Linked DNA regions of Mus musculus. The protein of the gene in region 2 purifies or fractionates together with the protein of the main gene of each other region. This does not show direct contact. Links are inferred from orthologs where the notes say so. Each region holds a gene or a part of one and is shown on either strand. Other genes may lie near its edges.

Region 1 (7,872 bases), on a different chromosome or scaffold from region 2:
CACAGTCCAAACCCCAAATATAAAGAACGGAGAAAACAAACCACCAATAATTCAATCAACCAGAAATACATTTAACAGCTGGGCATGGTGGTGCATGCCTTTAATCCCAGCAGTTGGGAGGCAAAGGTTAGGCGGATTTCTGCGTTCGAGGCCAGCCTGGTCTACAAAATGAGTTTCAGGAAAGCCAGGGCTACACAGAGAAACCCTGTCTCGAAACCCCCACCCCCCCCCCAAAAAAAGAAAAGAAATACATTTAACAAAATCATAGTAATTTGCAAACCCCGATCAATAACGCTGAATGCTTAACACTCTGATTTAAAGATCAAAGCTTGGCATTTGGGAAGCAGAGGCAGATGGATCTTTGTGAGTTCGAGGCCACCCTGGTCTACCTAGTGAGCTCCTGTATCAAGAACTTAGGCAGGCAGTGGTGGCACATGCCTTTAATCCCAGCACTTGAGAGTCAGAGGTAGGTGGATTTCTGAGTTCAAGGCCAGCCTGGTCTACAGAGTGAGTTCCAGGACAGCCAGGGCTATACAGAGAAACCCTGACTCGAAAAACCAAAAACAAAAAAAGAAGACCAGATGACCTGGTCATAAAACAAGATCTAAATCTGTTCTTTCCGAGAATACATTACCCAGCTTAAAGACAGAATTCATAATTAAAAGAAAATAAGAACGATGGCTAAGCAGTTAGGAGTACTAGCTGCTCTTCCAGAGAACCCAGATTCAATTCCCAGCACCCACATGGAAGCTCACAACTATCTATAACACCTGTTTCAGGGGATCTGACACCCTCATACATGCACACTTGCAAGCAAAACACTAATATATATAAAATAATAAAATTTTAAAGGAAAGAAAATAGAGCCTAAAAGCTTAGACGATTCACAGCCTGGCTATGTACACAGTGGAACTAGGTCAAGACAGTGGCCAGGCCAGTAAGATGACTCAGCTGGTAAAGGGACTTTGCAGCCAAGCCTGGCTACAGGAGTTTGTCCCAGGATGGACAAGGTGGAAACAGAGAACAGTTGCTGCAAATTATTCTCTGGCCACCACATGAAGGCATTTTGGAGATCTTGGCTGTCCTTCCAATCATGGAACCAAAAGCGGATCTTAAGGGCAGAAAGAACTCATAGCCAGTCTACCCAGCCTCTGCTTCTCACATCCCAGCATGCTCCAGTGATTTATCCAAGTACAGCTTGTACTGCAGCTGGAGAGAGCATTATTAGCAGTAACCTGTGGTAGTATCTATGCCTCATGGTGCTAATTCTGGAGGCATGCAGAATGCAGGAGCTGTGGAGAAATGGCTTCCTCTACCAAAGCTTCAAAAGATGCACTGGACTGTGGGAGGAAAAATGGGGGTGCAAGGAGAAACCTGATGTAGGAATGGGAGCTGTCATAGCGAATCCTCACTGGAACAAGCCTTAGTGAAGGCCAGGCAGCTACCATGATCTCTAATAGTGCAGCAACTGTCTTCCACTGCCCGACTGGGCAAGCTGCAGGCATTGGCATGCCCCCAAGCCCAAGAGCATGAAGCATGGACTGAGCCCTTCAAACACACAGATTTGGAGCTGCCCAATATTTTAGAGGCGCAATTCCTGCCCCAGAGTTTCCAAATGACACATATAGAGAAAAATTATTGTAAGATAATGCTTGTCCTCTTGGAATTCAGACTTAAGCCTTCCCCTGCTTTACCTCTCTCTTAGAATGGGAATGGCTACCCTTTGCCTGCCTCTGCATTACATGCTGGAAGTAAATAGCTACTTTTCATTGCACAGGCTCACAAAGCCAAGAATAGCAAGGCCTAAAGTAGCACGGTCTACACAGCAAGTTCCAGAGGGAGAGCCTATCTCAGACAAAACAACAATAGTAAACCAATAAATGATAAAGAACAGAAAATAAAACAAGCACCTAGTACGAAGTATTACCTGCTCCTATTTTCCTTGTGAGAGACACACTAGGCTAACACACACATCAGTAATAAACCTTAAATTGGGCTGGGAAGAAAATTTCACAGGTAAAGAGCCAAAGAACCAGGGTTTGAGCCCCAGAACACACTTTTTAAGAAGGAAGAGGAGGAGGAGGAGGAGAAAAAAGAAGAGGAGGAGGAAGAGGAGGAGGAGGAGGAGGAGGAGGAGGGAAAAAAAAGGCAGGCAGGCAGGCAGGCATGGTACTGAGGCATGAACTGCCTGGCACTGGAATGCTAGTGAACTTAAATTCTGAGGCTTGTTTTCCCAGTGCTGAGGAAAGGGAGGATCAATGGACTCTCTGGTCAGCCATCCTAGCCTACCTGGTGAGTTCTAGGCCACGTGAAAAACCCTGTGTCAAAGAACAAAGTTGACTGTATCTCTTTAGGTCTTGCAATATATCTCTTTAAATTCTCCAGCATTTTCAATGCCAAGCAGTTCATGGCTCAATGCTTTTGAACACACTACTTCTAACGAAAAAAAATCTTCACATGACTAACTTTTCCCAGCCTTTAGAATTAAGCCAAAAAATCTAGAAAATAAAAGGAAATTAGCATTTAGAAAGACTGTTCAGATTATGTGCGTGCAAGTGTGTCTGTCTGTGCGAGATCAGGTGCTCGAGTGCAGAGGCCATCTCTCCAGCTCTAAGTAGCATTTGTTAAACACACTATGTAGTCTCTGTATTTAGTCATGGTGGAAAAAAACAAAACAAAACAAAACCCAAATGGATTTTCTTGCCTAGTACTCTAGTTACGAAATGGAAAACTACTGTGCTTTTACAGATAGACGAGGGTAAAAGGTAACAAGAGAAATCATATATAAATAAGAAATACAAAGCAAGCACAGGTCATTCTGATTCTAGGCCAGGAAACCCTCCCAACCATTCCACTACCCGCCATTCCCTTGCCTACTTACCTGCCACATCCGAAATCTACACTACTTTGGACTCTCTCTCCAAACTGTGCAAGAAAAGTTCATTATGTGCAGAAGTTTGTAGTGTAGGGTTGGAGAAATGGCTCGGTGGAAGAACGATTACTTTTATAGCGGAGGACCTGGGTTTGGTTCTCAGCACCCTCATGGTAGCTAATAGGCAGTTATCAGAGGTTTTGACCACTCTTCTGGTCTCTGAGGGCTCCTGCACACATGTGGTATATGCACATACACATGCAAACACACATAAAGTCTCATTGTTTTGTTTTTGAGACTGTGTTTTACTCTGTAACCCAGGCTAGCCTGGAACTGACAGGGTAATCCAGGGGGATTATGGGTATGGGCCACCACACTTGGCTGTGACCAAGTTTAAGACAAGGTCTATTTCATTTACCTGTTCCTCTGGGTTAAGCAAAGCCAAACACAAGACGGACTCTCCAAAGCATTAGCATTTTTTCCTTCCCACTATGTCAGAGGCTACACCCTCTTCCATCTCCAGAATTCCCCTGCACTTCAGTTCTCCCTGAACACTTACTTTCTAACTCTTTGACAGTGTGGGTTTTAGACTCTTTATGCTGATGCTTTTACCTGTAGGAATTGTTCAACAACCAACTGACAAATGTACCTATGATTAAAATTACTCTTCTGGGGCTGGTGAGATGGCTCAGCTGTTAAGAGCACCGACTGCTCTTCCAAAGTTCAAATCCCAGCAACCACATGGTGGCTCACAACCATCCGTAATGAGATCGGACTCCATCTTCTGGAGTGTCTGAAGACAGCTACAGTGTACTCACACATGAAAGAAAGAAAGAAAGAAAGAAAGAAAGAAAGAAAGAAAGAAAGAAAGAAAGAGAGAGAGAGAGAGAGAGAGAGAGAGAGAGAGAGAGAGAGAGAGAGAGAGAAAGAGAGAAAGAGAGAAAGAGAAAGAGAGAGGGGGTGGGGGGTGGGTTCTGCCCTCTTCCGAAGTCAATCTTTGCAAAGAGAGCACACCGAGCAAGCTCGAGGCCAGCGTAGGCCACTTAGTAAGACCGTGTCTCAAAGACGAAATAATCCGAGCCTTTAATCGCAGTATGTGGGAGGCAGAGGCAAGCGGATCTTCCAGGCCAGTTTGGTCTACAAAGTGAATTCCGGAAAAGCCAAGGCCGGACCCGACCCTATAGCAACCCTCATCCCCACCTCCAAGACAAAACAAACAAACAAACAAACCACAGACTCCTTAGTCAAAATAATTTACGGAACACTAAACTGCTCAGAGTCTGAGTCACGTGGCTCTGCAGCGTGTTGGTGATGGTGAACACGGTTTTTGAGCCATGAACTACATAAGCCACTCACTGACTAAGAACAGCTTGGAATTCGTTACTAGATGCCACGCCAAACACCATACGCTCTTTAGGGTACCTCGGAGAGGGGGCAAACTACGATCCATCTTCTCAGAGACCTGGCCAACCCTCCCAGACCCTGCAGCTCAGGGCTTTCTCCCTTGACTACCCACCCACACCGCGGGCGTGCCTCTCCCCTACCTACCCAGGCTCTAGAAAGGTTCGTGATCACCTCCAGAGACCCCCTCTCCCCCGTGCGTGCCCATGGAGACCGTGGAAAGGACTAAAGGCCCCTTCGAGCCACAAATCTTATCTTCTACACGAATTCGACACCGCCCCGGGTGCCTTGTGCGCTCGCGGCTCCTCACCTGTTCCGCCGACACCGCCCCCTTCCCCGCGCCGCTCCCGCCGCTCTTGCCCACACGACCGCTGCTGTCCGCCATCTTCCCCACCTGCAAGCTTTCCGGCCTGCGCACTCTCACTGCGTCACATCCGGCCGGGGGGTTACCGCCCACTTGCTCCTGCGCTCCTGGCTCCTGGCAGCTCTTGAGATCCGACCCCGTGAATGGTTTTGGCTGTGTCTTCATGTAGGACCTACTCCCAAACCCTGCCCGCTGCGGTGAATTCCACCTGCGATGCTTTAACTTGTGCAACAGAGATTCTTGCCCGGGGGGGAGAGGCGGGGAAGGACGCGCTAATCAGAGGGCGGGGGCTCGGGTTGGGATCTGGTCCTGTACCCATCTACCCACCATGAGATGGTGGAGATCTAGGGAGGGTGAACTTTCCTTCTGAGATTCGGGTATAAGGGGAAAGATACGTGTTGAGTCTATAAAGCTGTGCAGGTGGCACAGCCGAGAAGAGAATTGGGGAAACGAGGAAGGTTCCATGAGATGACTTGAACTGCGGAAACGTTTGGCAAAGGAAAAAGGGCTTCAGTTTTAATGTGAGATCACTGGAAGTTGAGGTATTAAGGCACCGATCATAGTCGCCTCTCCCATTTTCCCATTTTATATCTTTTCCTAGCTACTAGTAGTAAAAAGTATTTTCGAAGCCTTGGGGGAGGGGATTACTGGCCAGGCCTGGAAATGGCAGAGAATTCTAGAAACTTACGGCTTGAAAGAGGGTTAGGTGTCCTGATTTCTCACCTTCTTCAGGCTGGGCTTCATCACCAGGCCTCCTCACCAACTCCTGTGTACCGGATACCGATTACTTCGAACCCCAGTACTTTGTACTCAGCCCAGGTAACATATTTCGTAATGTTCTCTCTCTGGCGCATAGCTGCTTAGTTCGTGTTTATTAACTTCATAGTGGGAGACAAAGATATCTCCAAACATGTAATGAGTGAACTCCAGTAGCTCTAGGGTTATTATGCTCTGTAAGAATGAAAACAAGTTGCTGGGGTCACCTGTAATGCCAGCACTCGAAAAAAAGGAGGATCAACCAGGAGTTTAAGGTCATCCCCAGTTACATAGAAAGGCCTGTCTGGGCTACAAAAGACCGTGTCTCAAAAAAGAAAAAAGTCAAAAGAAAATAAAGTTTCTGGCTCCACCCCCACTTGAGCCTCTGAGTTTCTCCTAGATAGAAAATCTGAGGATACTGCCTGTGTCATTCACAGGCCCAGAACCATGTCCTCATCAACTTCCTGGGAGCTGCCCCTGGTGGCTGTGTGCCAGGTAACATCAACACCAAACAAGCAAGAGAACTTTAAAACATGTGCTGAGTTGGTTCAAGAGGCTGCCAGACTGGGTGCTTGCCTGGCCTTTCTGCCTGAGGCATTTGACTTTATTGCACGAAACCCTGCCGAGACATTACTCCTGTCCGAACCACTGAATGGGGATCTTTTGGGCCAATATAGCCAGCTTGCCAGGTACAAGGGTAGGGTTTGGGGGGGGGGGGGTTGTGTGTGTAGAACTCCCTGTTGAGCAGTGTTCCTGGATTGCCACAGAGGGGGTAGAGTTGTGTGTGTCGTGTCCCCCCCCCCCCCCAGGGAATGTGGAATCTGGCTGTCCTTGGGCGGTTTCCACGAGCGTGGCCAAGACTGGGAGCAGAATCAGAAAATCTACAATTGTCATGTGCTTTTGAACAGCAAGGGTGAGACGTCATAGCCCTTAGTTTGCCTCTTCCCAGGCTTCTCTACCTTTCCTCAACTCAGATCTTCAGCATTTCTTTCTCAACTGCTTGGCCTTGGGGTTTTATGCTTCTGTTCTCAGCCTACAAGTTACTCTTTGGGAGAAGAGCTAAGCTGGACTTGTAGAGTGTCTGTACTGAGTATTTTCTCTCTCTCTCTCTCTCTCTCTCTCTCTCTCTCTCTCTCTCTCTCTCTCTAGGATCAGTAGTGGCCAGTTACAGGAAGACACATCTGTGCGATGTAGAGATCCCAGGTCAGGGGCCGATGAGAGAAAGCAACTATACCAAGCCTGGAGGCACTCTTGAGCCACCTGTCAAGACACCGGCTGGCAAGGTGGGAGTTTGGAAAGGAAATGGGACTATGTTGAAAAGTGGTAACACCCCCCATTGGTGCAGGCTAATGAAGGCACTCAGTGTTCTGTTGAATGGGACAGGGAAGATGAGTGGGTTGTTTCTCATTTCAGGTTGGTCTAGCAATCTGTTATGACATGCGGTTCCCTGAACTTTCTTTGAAATTGGCTCAAGCTGGGGCAGAAATACTTACTTATCCTTCAGCCTTTGGATCTGTTACAGGTCCAGCCCACTGGGAGGTAAGAGAATGCCTCTTCATAACATATAGGCCTCCTTTAACCTTACTTTTAGTAGTGGGAGCAGAGTGGTACAAACCTAAATCCAAGCACTTCAGTGGATAGCCACAGGTTCAAAGCCAGCATGCCTTGACTAAAAAAGAAAACAAAATAGAAGCTGGGCAGTGGGGGTGCACACCTTTAATCCCAGCACTCAGGAGGCAGAAGCAGGTGGATCTCTGAGTTTGAGGCCAGCCTGGTCTACAGAGTGGGTTCCAGGACAGCCAGGGCTACACAGAGAAACCCTGTCTCAAAAACAAAAAAGCAACCCACACCTTCAAAGAGTGGGGCATGGTGGTGCATGCTCTTCATCTCAGCACTGTGAGGCAAAGGCAGGCAGATCTCTGTGGGTCTAAGCCAGCCAGGGTTACACAGGGAGACCTTATCTCAAAAGTACAAAACACAAACACTCCTCCTTTCTACTTGATTTTCTTCCTTTTCATCTGGTGAGGAAATTCATTTCTTAGCTAGGTGTGAGTCATGTTAAAGAGTTAGTTATTAACTCTAGTTGGTTAGTGAGAAGATTGGGCCCACAGTGCCCGCTTCTTGTCACTTGCCTATTAAACGCTGTATGTTCTGGAGTCAACGCACGTCTCATCCTCAGGTGCTGCTGCGGGCCCGCGCCATTGAATCTCAGTGCTATGTAATAGCAGCAGCGCAGTGTGGACGCCACCATGAAACAAGAGCAAGTTATGGCCATAGCATGGTGGTTGACCCGTGGGGCACAGTGGTGGCCCGCTGCTCCGAGGGACCAGGCCTCTGCCTTGCTCGAATTGATCTCCACTTTCTACAACAGATGCGCCAACACCTGCCTGTGTTCCAGCACCGCAGACCTGACCTCTATGGCAGTCTGGGTCATCCACTCTCTTAATGCTTTTAACTTCTGTTGGTTAAGACACAGACA
Region 2 (8,185 bases):
TCACCAAGCACTGGTGCAGATAAGGCTGACTCTAAGGCAGACATTTTCCAAGCAGCGCCTACCTTCCAACAGGCTCTCCACTGGCCTTCTATGTTCCCTCTATGAGCAAAGGGGCAGGCTCAAGGAGGGAAGCCTCCCTCTGCTGCTTCCTCTCATCCAACGTGGACAACTAACCAACCCACCTTCCAAGACCAGATGAAGATATCCCAGGCTTTCCTCTTCTCACCTGAGACTTGGACAGCTGCTGAGTCACCAGGTTGACATCAGGTGACTCTGATGTAGAAGGCTGAGGGGTGAGCCCAGGATCTGGAGGTGGTGGGCCAGATGGGAAGTAAGGCAGAACTTCTGGGGCACCAGAACCAGGCAACCCACTAGGTGGCACAAGTGACTGGGAGGCCAAAAGGCTAGTGGAAGGGGCAGTCTGGAGCGGAGCAGGGATAGGGCCAGCAGGCTGGGGAACAGGGCCAGGGGGTGGGCAAACAGGCTGGGAGGCAGGACCCGGAATAGAGCCTGCAGGCTGTAGAGGACCAGTAGACTGAGATACGGGGCCAGTAGGAGTACTAGTGGGCTGGGCAGAGGACGGTGCTGGCGCTGGTGCTGGCGCTGGGGCAGGGGCAGGGGCAGGAGGCCTAGCCATGCGAGTCCACCGCTCTAGCAGGCTTCGGTCATTGTCACTGAGCACCAGTCCAGCCAGAGGGTCAGTAGAGGGGCCCCCCAAGGTACCAGCCCCCCTCTCCTTGCGTTCTCTCTCTTGTCGTCGCTTCTCCCGCTCCTTGGCTCTCTCTTGTCGCCTCCTGCGCTTCTCTTCTCGTTCTCGCTGGCGTTCCTGAGCTGTCACGGGCTTTCGAGGCTCAGGCGCCTCCAAGGGTGCACTGGGCCCATCTGCAGAAAAGTTGGACAAGGGAAAGGTAATGGCTTACAGATCTGTCCCAGAATCCCTGTCTACCACTCCACTACCCACTCAGCTGCTGGGCCCACACACCACCTCTGAGCCTGCTCCTTAGGGACTTGAGCAGGGCAGCTTTGAGGGCTGCTTTGGTATTGTCGGAGATGGCACCCTCTCTTTTTGGTGGAGCAAGCTCACTGGCCGGCGGGGCAGGCTGCAGAGTCAGATCAACGGTGTCAGGTGCAGGATCAGAGCATGGTGGCAGTGCTGGAGGAGGCGACTCCATGGCACAGTCTCCACTTGGAGCCCAGGGACTGGGCATCTCAACATCTGGACACACAGGCTCACTAGCCACAGGCTGCAGAGAAGGCTGGAAGCGGATTTGTTGGCGGATGCCCTCCCGTCGTGCATGGAAGTCCTCAATCTCAGCCACAATGGCCTCCTTAATGCGCTCCCTGGTAAGGGCTTCACGGTCAAAAGCAAAGTCAAAAGGTGGGGCGCAATCAGGCTCATCATCAGGGTCATGGTACTTAGCCAGGAAGGGGTGGCGAAGGGCAGCAGCAGCTGAGATTCGGGCACTGGGTTCAAATCGCAACATGCGTCCCAGCAGGGAGAGGGCCTGGCGGTCAGCACCTGGGTATACTGTCTCCCAAGGCACAGGTTGCCTTGGTGGCAGGCTCTGGATATAGGCTCGCACCCTTTCAGCCCCCACAGCCTGAATCACAGCTGGTGACGGAGTTCCCAACACCATCATGATCAGCTGTAACTGGTGCACGTAGTTTTTGCCTGGGAAGAGCTGGCGCCGAGCCAGCATCTCACCAAAGATGCAGCCCACAGACCAGAGGTCGATTGCCTGCGTATACTCGTGCAGGGAAAGCATGAGCTCCGGGGCACGGTACCAGCGAGTAGCCACATACTCAGTCATGAAGTACTGGTGCTCGGCAGGGGAAGTACAGAGGCCACGGGCCATTCCAAAGTCACCGATCTTGAGCTCACAGTTCTCATTGACCAGAAGGTTAGAGGGTTTAAGATCACGGTGGATGACCTGAGCAGAGTGCATGTATTTGAGGCCCCGAAGCAGCTGGTACAGGAAGTATCTCACATGTTCCAGGGTGAGCGGCTGTGAAGAGTGAATGATCTGGTGTAGGTCGCTCTCCATGAGGTCCAGTACCACATAGCTGAAAATGGGAAGAAACGGGTGAGCTAGCCTCCTCACATCACAGGGAGAAGCCCCCCCTGGCACTCCGTCCCCTGGCACTCCCAATTCCTGAGGTTATGGCCTTACAGTGAAACCCCAAAGGACTAACAGCATGGAAAGAGAGAATAGCAACAGGTTCTAGGTTTTCTACAACTTTCATTCTTTCTTTCTTTTTTTCAAGACAAGATGTCTGTGTAGCCTTATCTGGCCTGGAACTTGCTTGCTCTTGTAGACCAGGTTGGCCTCAAACCCAAAACTCAAGAGATCTGCCTGCCTCTGCCTCCCCAGTGCTGGGATTAAAGGCATGCGCCACCACCGCCTGGCCACAACTTTTATGAAAGTTTTCTTAAACGTATGTGTATGTTTTCCTGAACGTATGTGTACTACTTGTGTGCCTTGTGTCTACAGAGGCAGAAAGAGGGAGTCTGATCCCAACACCGGAGTCACAGATGTCAGTTAGCCACCGTGAAGACACTATGCACTGAAGCCAAGTCCTCTGAAAGATCGAGTGATCTTAATCACCGAATCGGTTTTTTCTAGCCCCAACTTTTTTACAGCTTTCTGACAAATCACTTTCTCCATGGACCTAATTTCTGTCAAAAAAAATTTTTTTTATAGAAATATTCAAATCTACCAAGATTGGCCAGTATGGTTAATTTTAGAGCAAACTCTACAGTTTGCCAACAGCTACTGAAAAAGCTATGTTGAAGACTCTATTTTTAAGGAGGTATTCTGTGAATAATTAGTTGTCTGCCATGAGGACACTGCTGTGTGACACTACAATGTATTGTGTCCGTTGTCTTACAATTTGGATCTGTCCTGTCTGTCTGTCCTCTCTCCCTCTCCTCTATTGCTGTTTTGGTTTTTTGTTTTGTCTTTTGGAACAGGGTCTAGACTAGCCTTGAACTTATGATATAACCAAAGGTGGCATGACCATAAAGAGGTAAATCCTCTTGATTCTTTTCCCCTTTTGTACAGGAGAGTCAACCTAAAACCTCAAAGATGCTCATCAGCCTACCAGTGATCGACATCCCCAGCCCTTGCCCTCTTGAGAGATAAGAACTGTCCCTACCAATGTCCTGGACTCACAGCCCGCATCACTCTGGGTTCAACCGCCCTGCCAGAACTTCAGTATTACTGAACCTGGGCTTCTAAGCTGATCCCGACTGTGTCTCCTCCTCCTGGCCCACTCCTTACACAGATCTGAATTCTCCATAGGGCACAGTAGGCTTCAGGATGTCCTTGATGGCGATGATATTGTCGTGTTTGAAGTGTTTGAGGATCTTCAGCTCCCTGAGGGTCCGTTTGGCATTGGTCACCACATCAAAAGCATTAGGTATCTTCTTGATGGCCACCTGCTGGCCTGGGGAGCAGGAAAAGGGCATATACCAGAGAGTACCTTCAAGTTAGCTGCAGGTCCCTTCCAGCACTGCTCTTCTGGAGCCCAGATAGCAGTAAGTACCTACTGTGTGCAGGGCCCTGTGTGTAACATATATCAAATTTTAATTTCGCAACTGCCTCGTGAAACGGCTGCTAATAGCTCACATAGAGAGGAGGCGCGGCTAGTTAGCAGTGGTTGTGACTGTACTAACTGATCCTCCCTCCCTCCCTCCTCACATAGTCAGTCCATCCCAGATCCTCCCCATTCTTCCACCACTCCATCGTGCCAATCTCTGGCTCTAGAACATATCTCTTTTGGACACCAAAGAGCATCTCTCTATTCTGGCTTACAGGGAATATCCTTTTCCTAAGGAGAAAGTAGGCTGACTGGGAGAAGCAGGGGTTCCTGAGAAGGGTACCTAACGGGGAGCTGGCACCTAGTCCGTAAGCGTGAGTGGAACCAGAATCCCCGGCGCAGCTGATCCTCCTGGGACCGTGCGGGTTCCTCACCGCCTCTGGAAAGCAGTCCACACATGCTGAGCCTCAGGAAGCCAGCTCACCCGTGAGGCGGCGGCGCGCCGAAGACACCACCCCGTAGGCCCCATTGCCTATGGTCTCGATGATCTCGTACTCGTCCCCCACGTCAAAGGTCACGTCGAAGGAGCGGGCTTTGAGCAGGGCCAGGTTCTTGGCCACCACAGAGGCAGCGGTGTGAACGGGTTCTGCCTTCACCCTCCCAGGGGGCTCCCCAGAGCCATCTTCGCCGTCCTCCTCCTTCAGCGGTTCGGCCATGGTCTGTACGAAGCGCTGATGAGAAGATCGTCCTGAGGGCCTCTCAGTTCCGCCTCTGTGGGTTTGGAGGCAGGACCTGTGCAGCAGGCGAGAGGGGACCGCTGGCACAGAGAACCCCACGGCCCAGGATCCAGGGGGGCGCGGCGCGGCCCCGGAAGAAAGGGAGGGGCGGGGCGCTGGGACTCCCGGGATCGCACTCACCGACCGGCCGGCACCCCGCCGCCACGCCTCCTCGGGAATTTGGGATTCCTGAGTCTTGCCAACCCAGTGATGAGTGTTCCCCCGGGCTCGCTCACTTAACAAGAACCGCGGCCACCACCAAAGCCTCGCGTGCGCCGAAGCAGACCACCCCACCGGCCGCCCCGGGACCACGCTCCTCCAGCTCCCAGCCAATCGTTGAGCGGCCTCCGTGGAGGTTCCCACCCCTTTATTTTACTCTGTCCAATCAAAACTTACCGGACGGGAAAACCGCGCCCTTGTCAATCACGCGCGCGCGCGCGCGCGCCCAGCTGTCCCACTCCGGGCGGGAGCCGCCCAAGGGGTGATGCGTGCTCCTCAGGGGTGCGCGCGCAGCCCCGCACCATGCTCTCACGCATGCGTACTAGCAGCCTCCGGAGCTTGGGTGGTGGGGGGGAAGCGAGCAAGGCCCCACCAAGTTCTCTTGTACTTCTGAGCCTACTCGCTCCACAGGCCCGAAGGGCGGAGATAAGGGAGGGAGGAGGGGTGTTACCTAGGCAACAAGCTCCGCACCCCCCCACCCCCACCCCGTCCTTTTGGCTCCTCTTCCTTCCTTGTTAGCTTTATTTCCTAGGGAATTTGCTGCGCACTCTTTCGGCGCCGGAAGTTCTGGACGCCTTACCCCGGAGTAGTGACCAGAGACCCCAGTCTTTAGAGCGTCGCTGACTTGTTTTCCCCCACCCCCCCAACCACTCCAACACCCCCACCCCCACCCCCAGCCAGTGAGGACCTGGCGGGGATGCGCATGCGCTCTGAACCGGGCCAGACCCAACAACTTTTTCCCTTTCCTCTTCCATTTTTCCTCCATCCGGCTGGGACGTCCGGTTGAGGCAAAAGTGAGCATTGTTAACTCGAGAGCTAGAAAAGTTCTCGGTAGGCAGCTTAAGTCTCCAATCTCCAAAGAGATTCGGGATTCCCAGTGAGACAAGAAAAGTGTGGAGAGGGAAACTGGGATGAAATCCAGTAAAGTCTGAGTGTCCCCTTGACATTTATTACTGAGTTCTCAATCAAAAGCCAAAGGTTGAGTCTAAAGCAGAAATGGATCTTAGATATCATACACGGTTGTTTGTGTTGCCCAGCATTTGGTACTACATGCAGAAAGTTTCACACATCAATTCATTTTCACAAACTTAATACCTGCGCCTTTGATTTAGATTAAAATTTCTAAAAAAACTGGATGTACCGGCTCATGCTTTTAGTCCCAGCACTGAACAGGCAGAGGCTGGCCTCAAATTGACAGAGAGCTGCCTGCCTCTGCCTCCTGAGCGCTAAGATTAAAGGTGTTCACTGCCTGGCTAAATGACTATTTTGACAGAATGTTCAGAGAGTCTCAATTCAGTGTTACCGGGGCATGGGAAAGAAGGTGGAAAGTATTTAAATGGATGTCTTTAGAGGTTAGTGAAGATTTTATCTTAAATTCAGCGTGTTCAGCTAAGACCCCTCAGGTAGACTTTGGCTGAAATGTTCCTCTGTTCCCAGCAGTCTTGGGTATTTTTTGCTGAGCAGATAGTTCCTGTGCATGGCACAGGGATCTGCAGAAAAAAAATGCCTGCAAGGGGGAAGAGTTGAAAGAGGACGGAATCTGGTATTTTACTAGATAATGCAAGATTCTTATTCTTTGGAGCTGTTCCAGGGTAGACACAGCTCAGTTGAAGATTATTTGCCTGTGCTTCAGATAGGAAGTTACCCCTCATGGAATCAGATTTGTCACCATCAGGCCAGCATTTGCACACAGCAGAAACAGGCTGGAACCCCACCACTGAAGGATATAGCTTCTTCAGTCCACCACTACCCTCCACCACTCTGCCATACCTCTCAGCCCTGGCTCAGTAAATGACGTCACTTTAGTACTTGGACCTCTGTGTTCTGCACCTTATAAAAGCCAGGAAAATGAACTGGCCCAGAAGATTATAGTTTCAAAAATAAAAGTGAGACCAAGCATACGGGTGGGGGCGGTCGGGGAGCTAATGAAGACTATCAACGTGACATGTACAAAACTCACCTTTCCGGCTTCTGAGCCCTGGTTGGCCATGGTCAGGCTTCTGACCTGGCTCTGGTTTAGCTCAGGATCCCAAGCTCAGGCTGCAGGAAGTCACTAGGAATTTTGAGGAAAATGGCTCTTTTGAGCTGTAGCTCTGAAAGATGCTTCTGGCAATCAGCATGGGGACACAGGTGGTGTGGGAAGGCTGGAGGCAAGGAGGGGATGGTTCATGACAGGTCCACCCCACTGGGAGTGTGGACTGGGTAGGGAGAGCACAAAAACAGAGCATGACCCATGAAAAACATACACGGGGAGTGTTGAGGTTTCTAGTCAGGTGATAGAGATGTCCCCAAGATGGATGCTCAGGAAGAGGAGGTCATTGGTGATGTCAATGAGCAAAGAACTTTGCAATGGAGGCTTCCAGGCTGCCTGCCATCTCTCTGGTAGTGAATCCAATCTGATCTGAGCCTTGTCCCACCATCTTTCCTGAGACTTGAGACCCATAAGTTCCCTGGCTGTGGACATTTAACCTGCCGTCTCCAGTCGACACCATACAATCCTGGAGAGGCTCTGTACCTGCTGTCCTGCCAGTAGGATTCTCTATCAGCATGTTACTCCTAAAACAAGGTGCTTTAGCACAGGAATAAAAGTATCTATCAAACAGAAATAATGTATCTTTTTAAAATAAAGAATAGACACTGTGGGCAAACACAGTGAGTTTTGAGAGACGGCAAGGAAGGGATTATGAATCACCCCAGCCCTGACCACAACCTATGAAGGATCATCCAGTTTAGGCTCAGAGAAGTGGAAAGATCCACCCTTTAAAAAGTCAGTGTCAGCTGGGCGTGGTGGCACATGCCTTTAATCCCAGCACTCAGGAGGCAGAGGCAGGCAGATTTCTGAGTTCAAGGCCAGCCTGGTCTACAAAGTGAGTTCCAGGACAGCCAGGGCTATACAGAGAAACCCTATCTCAAAAATAAATAAATAAATAAATAAATAAATAAATAAATAAATAAATAAAAAAAAATTAAAAAGGCAGTGTCATTCCCTAGGCTTGATTACCAGCTGGACTACACACGTTGATTCTGCATGCTCATCTTATTCTACTTTCTGACTATGGATACAGTGTGACTAACTGCTGCTAGCTCCTGCCACATGGACCTGCTGCCTTGATGGAACAAACCCTTTAAGTTGCTTTGCTTGGGTATTTTTTTGGAGCTACAAGGAAAGTAACTAAAAGAAGTAAACACAAAATAAGCTAAAACTGCTAATAGAATCTGTTCTAATTATTCTTAGGAATTTTAGGAGCTTCTGTGGATAACTAGATTGCTGTCTTTTCCTGTTTGAGTTGCCCTTACAACTGGGAATTTTTAGTGTAGTGGGGGTCCCTTTTCTTTAAGCTTTACCTTTACCCTAAAACAGACCATAACTACCTTTTCTTTCATATGGATTTCTGTTGGGGAAAAAGGAAAATGTCAGTAGAGGTATAGCTTGTCTTTGCTACTTTGAGTTCCTCTTTCTTGCACCCTTCTTCACCCATTTCCCACCCTTTCAACCCCTAACATGAGATAGGGGAGAGAAAAGGATAGAGGGGGAGGAGGCTACATTATCATTAGATGACTTCCTGCTGATGAGGGGGTGGGGCAGTGGGTGAGTTCCCTGGGGCAGGTTTGATCTTCACTGTCAGAATATCTAATTTCTCCTCCTCTAC

What was found.
Region 1: the proteins of Mapk7 (region 2) and Pfdn2 purify together in Homo sapiens (affinity purification with mass spectrometry; 3 studies listed by BioGRID and IntAct, with this or other methods). This does not show direct contact. The link is inferred for Mus musculus from reciprocal best matches to the Homo sapiens genes MAPK7 and PFDN2.

The regions. Positions count from the first base shown.
Region 1 is NC_000067.6:171,342,498-171,350,369, reverse strand, and holds the start of Pfdn2 (prefoldin subunit 2), read right to left. Parts: upstream 4,696-7,872; 5' UTR 4,659-4,695; coding exon 4,584-4,658; intron 1-4,583. Other genes in the region: Nit1 (deaminated glutathione amidase), read left to right, coding at 4,801-4,802, 5,370-5,456, 5,831-6,082, 6,203-6,306, 6,543-6,676, 6,807-6,932, 7,573-7,839. UniProt on the Homo sapiens protein: Binds specifically to cytosolic chaperonin (c-CPN) and transfers target proteins to it. Binds to nascent polypeptide chain and promotes folding in an environment in which there are many competing pathways for nonnative proteins.
Region 2 is NC_000077.6:61,489,623-61,497,807, forward strand, and holds the start of Mapk7 (mitogen-activated protein kinase 7), read right to left. Parts: upstream 4,645-8,185; 5' UTR 4,458-4,644; exon of another isoform or gene 4,333-4,457; 5' UTR 4,257-4,332; coding exon 4,025-4,256; exon of another isoform or gene 4,000-4,024; coding exon of another isoform or gene 3,975-3,999; exon of another isoform or gene 3,884-3,974; intron 3,564-3,883; exon of another isoform or gene 3,470-3,563; coding exon of another isoform or gene 3,448-3,469; coding exon 3,282-3,447; exon of another isoform or gene 3,228-3,281; intron 2,065-3,227; coding exon 986-2,064; intron 883-985; coding exon 227-882; intron 1-226. UniProt on the Homo sapiens protein: Plays a role in various cellular processes such as proliferation, differentiation and cell survival. The upstream activator of MAPK7 is the MAPK kinase MAP2K5.